Drosophila melanogaster: one gene and its partner. The protein of the gene in region 2 purifies or fractionates together with the protein of the main gene of each other region. This does not show direct contact. Each region holds a gene or a part of one and is shown on either strand. Other genes may lie near its edges.

Evidence for each region. Proteins that work in one complex are often made in the same cells at the same time.
Region 1: the proteins of Drep4 (region 2) and Drep3 fractionate together in Drosophila melanogaster (co-fractionation; 2 studies listed by BioGRID, with this or other methods). This does not show direct contact.

The regions. Positions count from the first base shown.
Region 1 is NT_033778.4:12,052,871-12,059,120, forward strand, and holds the start of Drep3 (DNA fragmentation factor-related protein 3), read left to right. Parts: upstream 1-2,218; 5' UTR 2,219-2,348; intron 2,349-3,098; exon of another isoform or gene 3,099-3,103; 5' UTR 3,104-3,150; coding exon 3,151-3,516; exon of another isoform or gene 3,517-3,677; intron 3,678-6,250. Other genes in the region: CG44314 (uncharacterized protein), read left to right, coding at 106-399.
Region 2 is NT_033779.5:13,282,704-13,289,199, reverse strand, and holds Drep4 (DNA fragmentation factor-related protein 4), read left to right. Parts: upstream 1-2,737; 5' UTR 2,738-2,790; coding exon 2,791-3,030; exon of another isoform or gene 3,031-3,248; intron 3,249-3,374; exon of another isoform or gene 3,375-3,381; coding exon 3,382-3,505; exon of another isoform or gene 3,506-3,559; coding exon 3,560-4,548; 3' UTR 4,549-5,288; downstream 5,289-6,496. Other genes in the region: Uvrag (UV-resistance associated gene), read right to left, coding at 1-24, 110-520, 573-895, 959-1,826, 1,887-2,260.

The sequences.
Region 1 (6,250 bases), on a different chromosome or scaffold from region 2:
TGGATATTAAGTACTTACTACATTTTTTTCTTGAGTGCAGCAAGCCCTGGGACAGTGAACAAGCTGTCAGTAATGAAAATTCAGACAGGTTTGGCAAATACAAATATGAAATTATCCGTTTTGTTTATCGTGATGCAGTTGCTGGTGCTGCTGGCTGCACAGGCGATTGACCTTTCGCCGCCGCCGCAGCAGCAGCAGCAGCAGCAGGGTGCAGATGTGGCAGCCAGCTTAAAGGAGCTGCAAGGGGAGATGGCGCATCCATTGGGCAGCCAGTGCATCAGCGATTGCCTCGCCGAGAAGGGCAACCTAGTGCCGGATCAACTGGGTGAATGTCAGCAGGTCGAGCAGCAGTTCGACTGTACACTGTACTGCATGTTTGATGTAGAGCCGCGCTATTAAGCCATTAACCGATATAGTGCAAATACGCACAGGCTTGCTGGCCATTAAACCAATTATGGCCAGGACCGTTGCACGTAGGTATCCTTACACAGGAAATACACAAAATAATGAAGTATGCCATTAAGGGGGGGAAATGTAATTGCTTGTTACATGGCGGCAAGGTCGATGCCAGTGCTTTTTTTCTCTCATTATTTTCCATTTCACATTTATTTTAATTTAATTAAAATGTTTGCCATTTTCTTTTATACATTTTTGGTTTGCCCCGCATCGAAATGCTATTTTTTTCCATTTAATTTCATTTAGACTGCTGACAGCAGGCGCAAATATTTGGCATTTACCCGTACCACTGCCTTATGTGTTTTTCGCCTGACGAGTTTTTGGCGAAAAGTGCCACATATCCAAGGACCAGGATCAGAGGCCATTTATCATCGCCACATGCGGCGGCATGACCTTTCCGACGACATGTGAGTTAATTAATCTAACTGGCCAGACGGCCAAGGTCGTGCATCGCAATTAAACATGGCAGCTGATGATGAAGGGAATTTACCTTCGCGACCAGACGCATAAATTTCAATTTGCACCTATGCATTTAAATTGATGGCGATGGAGGTCCTGCAGCAGGACCAGCATGCTGCATATGCGAAATGCGAATAGTTGTTCGCGCCGCGCTTCAATGCGCAATTAGCGGACCATGGCCCATAAATTATTTGACCCGCCGGCGGGGGAAAATGGGAAATGGAAAATGGCGGACGGAAATGAATGCCCAGCAGGGCGAATAAACAGATGAGCGTGCAAAATTCGCCCAGCAATCCGAATCCGCTTGGGCCTAAAGTATGCACTTCAGGTAGTTGGGACAAGGACCAGGCTCAAAATGCGTAAACGAGATAACAGGCCCACAGATATATTGTTATCCATCACGTGACTGCAGTTGGAATCACGTGCTCAGTCCATGTTCAATGCCGAACTTCCGTAAGCGGGCGCAATCAAATTAACCTTGGCTCACGCGGCGTATGCGCAATATTTCAGCCATTTAAGCCCAGTGCTGTGATAAATGCAGCTAAGTGGCTTTGTTTGCTCCCAATGCGAACAAATTCGATCGACGTACAGCGTCTCATGCATTTTAAATATTCCGCCAATGCAAATGCCAATAAATCTCGGCTTTTGTCTCGCCCTCAAAGGCAATGCACCTTTGTTGAAAACTTTTGCCCAGCTCTGGGATGCTTTAATTATGCAGCCAGCAGCAGTCTCATTATGCCGAAGTGACATTTTTCAGCTGGACGCCAGAGTTTTTCGCCGAAATTGCAAACTTTATTTTTATTGCATTTTTAAACTTTGCCCTTAAGCGCCTGAAAGTTCAGGCTAAAATATTTATATTTGCCATCACGCCCCGCAAATACACTGTGCTGTTTGTATTCGTTTTTATCTTCTTGTGGTCCCGGCTAAGTAGAACTATTTGCAGCTGCTCCAGTAAACTTTTCCCACCTTCCAGGTCATAGAATCCCGATCCCAGGCCAGAGTTCTTTTGTGCCAACTTTACTTTATCCGGCATAGGGTCTATGCTTCTGGCCCGGCACGCCCAGCGTGTCCTGGCTAACAGGAGCCTTAACAGAGCGCTCGCTCTCTCTCTCTCTCTCTCTCTTTGCCTCTCTTTGCGAGTGTCCTGCTCTCACGGCCAAAGCTCCGCGAAGGTTAGACTTTGCTGTGTGTTTGCAGGACCTGCTGACTTTGCGCCGTGTGTGTTTGCGCTGGCCGAGGCTGTCGGCAAACTCGACGAGTCCTGCCACGTTTAAATACAGCACGCACAGACGTCTGGCAATTTATTCCAAGTTCGGCCGGCTTTTGTTGCACTTGGCTGCTGTGAGTAGTCGGCTCGCGATCTCAGCCAGAATCGCGTATTGTAATTGTTGCCGGAAGATGTGAAGAATTCGGTTTTTAACTTAAAGTGCACGGTAATGAGAAACAAAATGTTGCTTCTAGAGTTCAGAGTATATAAACCAACTATCTTTTTGTCTAAAAGAGGCTTGTGGAAATTATGGAAAATAATTAGTTTAGCTTTCATGATAAAAAACAACAAGCAAGCACATGCAAACTATATTCTTTTAGACTTATAATTGCCTCTATAAATTTAAATGAAGTTTTACCAAACAAAAAAGTTGGCCAATTATATTCGTTTGAAAAACTCTAAACACGTTTCTGCATCGTCATATATGGAGCTTTACTATCAAATACAGGACACCAAAATTGAAATAGTGCAAATTACATTACTATATAAAATTAAAAAAATAATAATATTTTGTAGATATTTTTTTTAAGTCGTTGGTAAAAATGTACAGTATTTAAAGAGCCGATGGTGAAATTGTAATGCAATAACATTCCATGGTCTCCTTCTTTTTTTTTTGGTCTCTATAAACTTCGTTTTCTATGTGGCTTTAAGGTCAAGCAATTTCAGCAATTGCAAAACTTTTTTAAATCAAAGCCAAAACAAAGGCCAAACAACGATTTCGTTATAAATTTTCCGGTCGAAGCAAACAACGTACACGCGTATATGAAATAACAATAACACAAAGTCTGGCAGTTTTAGTATGCTTGGCTCAGCTTTGAAAGCATCCCCGAATGCCATACAGCATATTTCAATTATCGTCTAAATTTGTTTTGCTCGTCATAAATCTCTTTCTCTTTCGACCATGTTTTTCAACCAGTGCAGCAAGGAGTCCAGACAAGGCGAACAAACTCTCGAGACGAGGTAAATACATGACAGCAATGAATGCGGATGAGACAAAGCTGGCTGGAATGCCTCAAGGAGCTGAGGAGGAGCAGGAACCGGAGAGGGAGCAGAAGAAGGAGAGCGATGGAGCAGCAGCTGCAGCAGGAGTACAGTGTGATCCTGATAGCAGAATAGTGGCTCCGCCGCCCAGGCAGCGGACTCTGACAAGGACGGCCGAACTGGACGCGGACTGCGAGGACATCGAGTTAGATGCCGACGATGGTTTGGACGATGCGGCGGATAGCATCACCTTGGAGTTGGCCCTATCGCCGCACAGCAGCGCCACGCCCACGCCCTCGCCCACCACCGCCGACGAGGATTTCGCCCAGCTGGACAACAGCAAGCCCTTCAAGGTGGGTATTCCACTCGCTACTCGCACATCCTTCATGTCCTTTGTGGCATTTAGCCACGCTACCTGGCGCCCCGTCATCTGGGCCAGCATTTCGTTAAGTGATTACTGCGGTGCTATTGTTACGCTTGATGGGTATATAGTAAAAAAAAAATAGAAAAAATTAAACTGAAAATGGAGGAAAAAGTTTGACGGTCAGGACGAACAAAGTGAAGGGTTCCCCGACGGAACGGCCACTTCAAAGCCTTCGGCGTTGAGTGGCATCATCGACATTGGCACTGCTGCTGAAGTGTTGCTACCGGTGCTTTATTCGCCCTTTAAGCATTCGTCCAACTTTTCAATTCGCTGCAAGAGTTGGTGCGGGAAAAAATCCGGGAAAACAGAGCTGTTTCCTTTTGCCCTACCAGCAGCCCACTCCGCACTGCCTTCACCATGGCAAACTCCATTTGATTGTGAGGATTGCGTGGCCCTGCCCAATTTGGAGCACAGAAAGAAATGATTAGGGTCACAAATAGTCGCTGTCAATTCTGCAAAGTTTACGAAACAATTTACGCATCCGTTTACCTATTTACGAAACTTTTAACTCTAAAAACTGTGTGTGAAAGATACAACACATCGACACTTGCAAGAATAAAACGATTCTGTTTAGTATTGATATGATTTAACTTAATTGAACTTGAATGTCCTTATTTTGATGATCCTATATCCAATTACCCACTTATAGTAAGCCATGCTCAGTAAATCACTAACACTATCAATACAATATAGTATAGACCATATTTCACCCTCTACTCAGATTAGCTTCTTGCAAATTTTTTGCCTGTGTGGCTGGTCAACAATGAAAATTTAATTAAAATGTTCAAACTGTTCAGTTGCATAGGGTAGTGGGATCAGGATGCGGGCGCCCAATTGTCTCGTATATCATTGTGGGCCAGCCAGCTGGCCAATCATCCAGCCATTCCGCCAATCGCCTCCAGTGCCACGCCCACATCTAAGCCGCCTTGTGGCGTCTGTGTGGGCGGCGATAACTATAAGTAGGTGTCTTGGCCACGCCAGCTGAACACCCTAATCGATGTATTGTGTGTTAACGGCATCAGAGCGATGGCCATAACAATATAAACTGGCCAAAAGATCGGCGTCTACGAGATATCAAGTGGCTGTAAATTTGCCAGGCGAAAGCAATTAATTGACGGCTTGACGTGGCCGAAACGCGATGTCATTTGTCAGTGGCAACCGACCGGTGATGATGATGATGATGGGTGAGCGTGGGCCACGTGACGTATGCGTAATTCATGCGCATTCCAGCTAATTAATAAGCCTCCATCTTGTCTGCCATCTGACACGGGCATCTTCTTTATCGAGCTCTCGGGGAAATTGCCAAGGTTCTGATTAAAAACACTGGATGATATAATCCTGGAGATATAATCCCTTTGACTAATTCCAGAAACAACTAAATGAGAGTGAAAATTAAGGAAAGGGTTGGTAGTCAGAGGCCAACACATGAATGCGTGAGGTAGGGTTAATAATATCCTGTGTTCACGTATTGGCCCTTAGGTTCTTCTCGGTATGAAAATAATTTGCATCTCTTCTACTTAATATCAGATAGTTCAATTAATTCGATGGTTACCATGACTGATTTGCAGTTTGGTTTACTCACAAGGTTAAATTGGTTTAGATCTACCGCTGAACTGAAAACTCATAGCAGTGCTGCCACACAGAAAGACATTTTTGACTTGAAAATATGAATACCTTAAAAAACAGCTGGAATTCAGTTCAGAAACTAAATCAAAATATATGAAATAAAGGAAAATTTGATTGGAAAAGAGCTAAGTCGGCAACAGTGCCTACTAGAGACTTCAGTTGGCTGCGTACCAAATTATTTTACTTCGCATGCAGTTTTAGTTAATATTTTGCTTAAGGAAATTCTGTGGTTGCCCAGAACACTTCTGGTCCTGGCAGAAAATTAGATTCCTGTAAAACAAATCTCATTGGGCGAGGAAAAATCCAGCTTTCATTTTCCCCACTGGCGTAACGCGCAAATGTGTTTTTCATGTCACAGTCATTTGGGGTCCACAGTCCACCTACGGGCATCACCTTTCGGTGGGTGTCTGCAAATGCAAATGGTTTAAAAATAAAGCCTGATCCATTCGTTATGGAGAGGTTTACATGAAAGTTGGGTCGGATATTAAATTAGCAGACATGCCGCATGGAACAACATCAGCAAGGAGATAGGCAAACAAATAAACAAATAGAAACGAAGAGCAAACAGAATATGTCGTACTGTGACTGAGACATCGCGTATACGCAACGTTGCGCATTAAGCCAAATAAACGGGCATTCTTCGTGTCCAGACAAGCGTGCAACTAAGCGCTCCTCTGTCTTCCGACTCAAGTTAGCTAATAAGTACGTGTAAGTGTGGAATGCGACGAGTTTGAAACCAGTGAGAACTCATCATGGCCCATGGAGCTCGAATGAATGAGCGATGCTAACGATTTCCTCAAAACAAAGCAGAACACTGAGAAAAAAGGAATGTGTAATTTAAAAATCAAGATGTGTTAACAAAAGCCTTAAAAAACTAAACCTTAAAATTCTAGGTTTTTGTAGAAAGGCATATAGAGTGCCTAAAGCAATGTGTTGCTATGACATTTCGGTGGCAATTACGAGCAATTAGTGGGGAAATGTCTCCGATAGACTCCTTGCAGCGAGTGAAGGCAACATGAGATGGACAATGGGCATCG
Region 2 (6,496 bases):
TAGGACCCCACCGAACGGCAAATGCTGCAAGAATATTACAATATATTATTATTAAATTTTATCCGGTAGTTTTTGTTTTTGGCTCTAAATATATGTATATATAGATTACCGTTGAGTTGACGCATAGCCTTCGATTGCCAGTGCCTCACTCACACCCGGCGGCAACAGCTGCTGGAGCAGTGCATCCTTGACCGCATTGACGCCAGTCGGCAGTGGCACATGATTCATGTCGACCGAAGAGTGCGATTGCGACAGGTGCGGCGCCGTCAACCCATTTGCCAAGCGTGCTTCTCCACAGCCAGCTCCAACTGCAGTTCCATCCCGTTCGTCGACCTCATCCCTTTGCGTTCGTTCGATGTAGCGAAGAGTGCTGAATAGCTCCAGCAGATTGCCAAAAGTGTTTCGCAGATCGCACTGGCCCGTGATGTCGAAGCACAGCTGCGAAACATTCTGGCGCAAAAGGTAGATGGCATACTTTGTTTGCTGCGACGGCAAAATGGAGCGTGTATACAGAGGAAATCTAAGATGGAACAATAAGATACCAAAAGGTAATATTTAGTCTGTGTGCTTACTCTCTTGTTGTGTACGTCAACTCTTTGATATCGTCCACTATCCTTGCTTTCGATGGCTCGTACAGAATACGGTTCCTCAGAGGTCGATCCATAATGATGGCTAACATCTGCACCAAATGGGCAACATAACCCAGTGCCGCACTCACTGCCAGCGGCGAGACGTTATCCAGAAGCTGTGCGTTTGCCGCCTGACGTGACTCGCTCGTGTATTGCTCCATGTGGGGGAAGGCGATGCCGCAGATACTAAATTGCCGACCGCCCACATTCTGGATGTTATAGATCTCCTGTAGCTCCAACACCAGTGTGGACATTCGGCGCTCCACCTTAAAAGGGTGAAAAGGTTTATTAATATACTTGTTTAATGTTATTTGATTCCGCAGCCCCACCTGCCGTTCTATTTGTCTTTTTTGATCGCGCTGTTCCAGATGTTGAGGTGCCAGGGTTCGTAGCTCCAGACGTTCTTTTTCCAGTCGATGTCGCTGGCTGTGGAGCTCCCATTGCTGTGCCTCCCGCTGTTCTCTCATCTCCTTCAGAAGTTGACGGGTGCGCTCGTTTCGTTGGCGAAACGTTTCCCGCTCCGCTTTAAGTAGCCGCTGTTGACTGCTTAGCGCTTCTATCCTTCTAGTTAGCTGCTGGGCATTATAAAGCGTGAGGGGCGCGATCTGCTGCTGCTCGGCGAGCAACACGCTCAGGGCGCGGCCCATGGAATGGTACTGATGGGCGGAGTAGTCGCCGGACAGCGATGTCGTGCGGGGCTTCAAGCGCAGCTCGTTCCTGGTCACACAGTGTACACTGAGGCGGGCTATTTCTCGGCAAACCTCGGCCATTTGACGCCGCTTCTGCTGATGCAAGCGTTGCAGACGTTGCAACGTGAGAAGCTTTTCGAGGTTGTTGCTTCGCCGAATCTCCTGCCGTTGGCACTTCAGCTGTGCATAGCGCATCGTACTCATTCGCAGCACGGGACTCGAACTACGACTAACGGCCGGCGAGTTTATGCCCTCATCCTGCGGCTCTTCTAGTTTCTCTTCCTCCGCATACTTTTGGTAGTGCAAATGCAGCTGCGACTGCAAGGCCTGCTCGCTTATCATCGACGGGGAGGCAAATTGCTCGCCATTCAATTGAAAGACCAAGCAATTTCGTCCGCACTGGGACAATGTGAGGGGAGACAGAGGTATAAGGCCGGAGAAGTAGACGCCCCAGCTGAACAGTAGTTCAGGAGGGCGTGGCAGCCTGCTGGGCGTTAACTGGGATCTTCTGGAAGTAAGTTGGTTGATGATAGCAGAGTTCTATTTGCAAGCAAAGTCTCCTATTTACCCGAAAACATCCTTATGTCTTTGCTCAACCTCAGGCGGTTGGCCATCTCTTCTTTCCGCCGAATAGTGCTTCCACACCTTGACACAGACACACTGCGCATTGGTTTTCCGCCAGGCCTCGTCGTCCGTACAAATCTCCGCCCACTTTTGCTGTTGGTGACGCTGCGGCAGCTTTTCGCTGGTGTAGAACGCTTCGCTAGCCTTGTCCGTGTGTAGTGTGTAGTAGAGGAGCACATCATCCGGATCATCTAGCTCCAGCGACTTCTCATGCGGCCAGGACTCAATATTGAATCCCTGAATTCTGTTAAGGTTCCGCAGTCGAAGTTGCTGGGTGGCTAGGGGCAGCCACTTGCGGCATCGCGGCCGTAGATTCATCGTAAAACGCCTTTCCGGGTGAGCTGCGGATTACGCGGAGCCCGTAGCCCAGATCATTGTACACTAAGACTACGTTTGTTATAGTTTTTCCACAGAAACTTTTAACAAAAAAAATGATTACCCGAACAGCTGTTTTTAGATGCATAAGTGCTGCAAAACACTGAAGGCAATAGTGGTGGGAAATGCGCCGTTCAACTTGTATTTTATTAATTTGGCTATTTTCATTTTATTAATTTACACATTATTTAATTTAAGAATAAATGAAAATTTTATCAATTTGAATTGATTAATAAAAATATAAAAAATATTTCGTTAATTACAAAACACGGGAAAAAATAAATTATTATTATATAGCTTTTTGCAATTTTTAGCTAAAATTGCAGCACAACTAAAGAATCTTTCAATGAGAATCTAGTGTTGAGAAGCGCGAAAAATGCCTTGTTCTGCTAGTTTATTTTGCTTTGTCCGCGGATAAGGAAACTTGCTGCGAGGACTACATTCCAAAGTTGACTTTATTATGAGCCAGAACGATGATCAGCTACATTAGAGATGCAATCATGTCACCGACAACACGCAGCAGCTCGAATAACAAGAAAAGCAGCCAGCCAACAGGCGAAGTTCTCAAGGATGTGAGCTCATCCGAATCCAGGGGAACAGCAGGTGCTCCAATGCGTGGCTACAAGGTTACTGACAACGAGCGAACGAGGAAATACGGAATCGGAGCCAATTCCCTGGAAATGCTGATAGCCAAGGCAAAAAGCAAGTTCCCGGTAAGAAAAAAAAAACAGGAAAAACTCCTGCGTAAAAGCGCGAAATATACACCCACCCACGTAGATGGGCTGAAAGTTCCTGGCTCTGGTAATTTTCAAGGCCATGTCCCTGGCAGTGGCTTCCGCGTTTGTTTGGCTCTCTTTCAATGCCACTAGTAAATGCCAATGCGCATGTCCTGTATAGTAGAGCTAACCACCTGTTGATGGAACGTCCTTGCCTGGCAAAAAAAAAAAAAGAGAAATGTGAAACAAACTGAAGGCCCCTGAACCAGGAATTGGGCGACCTGGCCTCGTTATAATTCGGCCATGTCAAGGGCATTACAATTAAATCGTTTTTTTTTTACCTTTTAGCTTCTCGAGCCACATTTGTATTTGGCTTCTGATGGCTTCGAGGTGTCCGACGATGAGTACTTAAAAAGCCTACCCGCCCAGACGCTGTTCATAGTGTCTGGCCCGGATGCAGTCATTACAACAGGTGAGCTGCAGTTTAAATATTTAACTTAATCACAATTAATCTGTCTTCTATTAGATGCCGATTTTGAGTTTGAGAAGATGCGACAACAATCGCCTTTGCTAAAGGTGGCTGACATTTTCTACGATTTTATCGAACAGCATCCGGAAAAGTTCCGCCGCATGATAACGGAGTATGAACACCAAAAGCAGCGACGCGTCCTGGATAACAGCAAGACCCACCTCAGCTTAAAGGCCGAGCACGTGGAGTGGTTCACGGGCGGCGAGGAGCGCTTCCACTCTAAGGAGGAAGCTATGGCCACACGTGCCCAGACACGTGTGCGAGGCTACTACTATAAGGCCAAGGAGGAGCTGACCCGCAATCCCTTGTACCGCCAAAATGCCAAGGCCCGACAAGTGATAAACTCTGTGCTGGAGAAGTTTCGATACCTGCTCATCGGTTGCGACTTTTTCTCCATGATGTTTGACCGGAATTGCAAGCAAAAGCATGAATTCCTGAAGCAGCACTTGGGCGACGAGGAAACAGACGCTGGCAGGATACCCAGCAAGAGACTGAGGCAGGTGATTAGGGAGTACACCAAGGAAAACTGCATCCTCGACGAATGGTCCACTTCCTTGTGCTCCGACTTGGGTGACTTCTATTGCCAGGGCTCCTATTCGGAGAATGGCAACAGCTGCTCTAAGCAGCACACTATTAATCCGTACGCTTCGCGTGAGAATCTCATTTTGTTTCAGGTCTGGAATCTGGACCACCAAATCGAACTGTGCCGCACAATCCTTCCCGCACTTGTTGCAAATGTGGAAGAACTTGTGAGTCATCCGCAGACCAAGTGTTCAATTCATAAGAAGCAAGTGGTCGATATCTCAGTACTGGAGTACTTTCTAGAAATATTCTCCCTAAAGAATCTCAAACTAGTGCACATTGTCTGTCATGAGAAGGCGCAGCGCTCAAACCGTTCGAATGGTCGCCTACTGTGCTCCGACTGTCATGAGTATCGCATTGTGCAAGAGCTGATGGAAGTCCAGGTGGACAGTCTAGCCACTTAAATGGTATGTGAGAAATATATAAAAGTTACCTAGCCAAGCAATATTGTACACAATAACTTTACAAAATGTATCTACGAGTTTTGTTGCTATTTTTAAACAAATATTGTATATTCAGTTGTTAAGCATATTATATTGCTGATCTCATATGGGATAAGTTGTACAAATGGAAATTATCTCGATGCCAACTATAAAAACTTACTGTTGAAGGTTTTTCATAGTAAATACGTAAACTATTAACATACTTAACATATGCATTTAATGTTCATATAGCTTTTCAAACTATTCAAATTAAGTGACTATGCAATATCGGTATATAATCTAGAGTTAAAAGTTAGTTGATTGTAACGCTAGTAGCTAACAATTTAAAGTTGGCGTTACACATCGATCAGCAAGTCCAAACTATGAAATATGAAAATATTGTATGTTATGAAGTATGTATACTCATGTAACGAATTTAAACAAAAACGTAACAGTATGAAAAGGTTTTGCTACACTTGGCTTCTCTGCACCTCTACAAGTGTTTTATTTTTGTATGGGCCATGTATTCAAGAGCCAAATCGTCGGTTTTATTTCCATCGATATTGTATACAAACAAGTACAAGTTTTTTGATTTGACTTCTTTATTTACTAAAAATGTTTACTGCATATAAAATTGTACAACACAAAATATAGTTTATTTATGTATCAAATAATAATATTCAAATAAATGTGCAGAACGTTCGTATGCATACGAACTAAGTAAAATAATAAATATTGATGACAAACAAAAGATAATATTCATAAATGAAATAATATTGTTCGCAAGTAACAAAAATATTTAATATATTATTAGTCGTGTTTGATGTGCGCTTTCGTGTTATCCGGATACATATCAAGCATAGTCGATTTCTTGGATTTTGTTTCGTTTCGTTGCTACCTCATTGCACCTGCATTCTTTATCTTAACTTTTAGGATTAGTATATATTCGCTTTCGCTATTTGCTTCGTAGTTGTGTTAGAATTGTTTTGTATGGTTTTAGTGCTGCTACCAAATCGCGTTCAACAATAAAAACTTTCGATTCTCAGTTACAATGATGTTTGTTAGTGTAAAGAAATTTTACTAAAAACTTGTTCCCGTTCCCAAGTTATTTGATTGTGGCGATCCTCAGAGTGTCTGGTACTTAAACTACATAACTATAACAAGCAATCTGATTAATATTCAGTTTCGTTTCGATTTCTTTATGATGCTGTTGAGTTGCTATAATTGATTTCTATGGCGTTGAGAAATAATTATAGATCCGATTGACCAGGTCCTGAAAAAGATTAAACCAAGAAGAGTGTTACTTTAAAATGGTTTTAACTGGCAGTGACAAACAAATAAAGCTAACACTAAATTGTGGAAACTTTCCAGTCTTGACTTGGCCATGAACACCGATTCAGGTTCAGACTTACGTACATAAAAAGTAAACGTAAAAAGTAAATAAAAAATATATAACAAAATCAGAAATATTGAAGCAGCAACTGAGAAAGTGCAAGTGCCAGGCAGCCAAAACAATTTTGAGAGAAAACTTCACCTTTTTTTTAAACTTTTGTTTGTATTATTCATTCAATTCAGTTCAATTCGATTTAAGTTTTGGGGTAAAAGCCATTCATTGTCATTATTAAAGTTAACGATTAATGTTTGTTAAAATATTTATTTCTTATTGTGTGTATAAAACAAGTTAATCGAGTATAAGAGAAAGAAACATTTAATTATGCATTTGTAAACTCATGAATGGTTAATGTAACGAACGAGTTTTCGACAAGTCATATTGTACAATTTTTCACTTTATATTTTTTCACTCCATTATTTCGATAGTTTTTATTTATGGTCTCAACAACAAAAGAGTAATCTTCATTCGTTGTTCTTTGCAAGGTGGAGTTTGCTCTCCAAGCTCAAGTTTTTAGGGAAGCATTTGGGGAAGGAACTA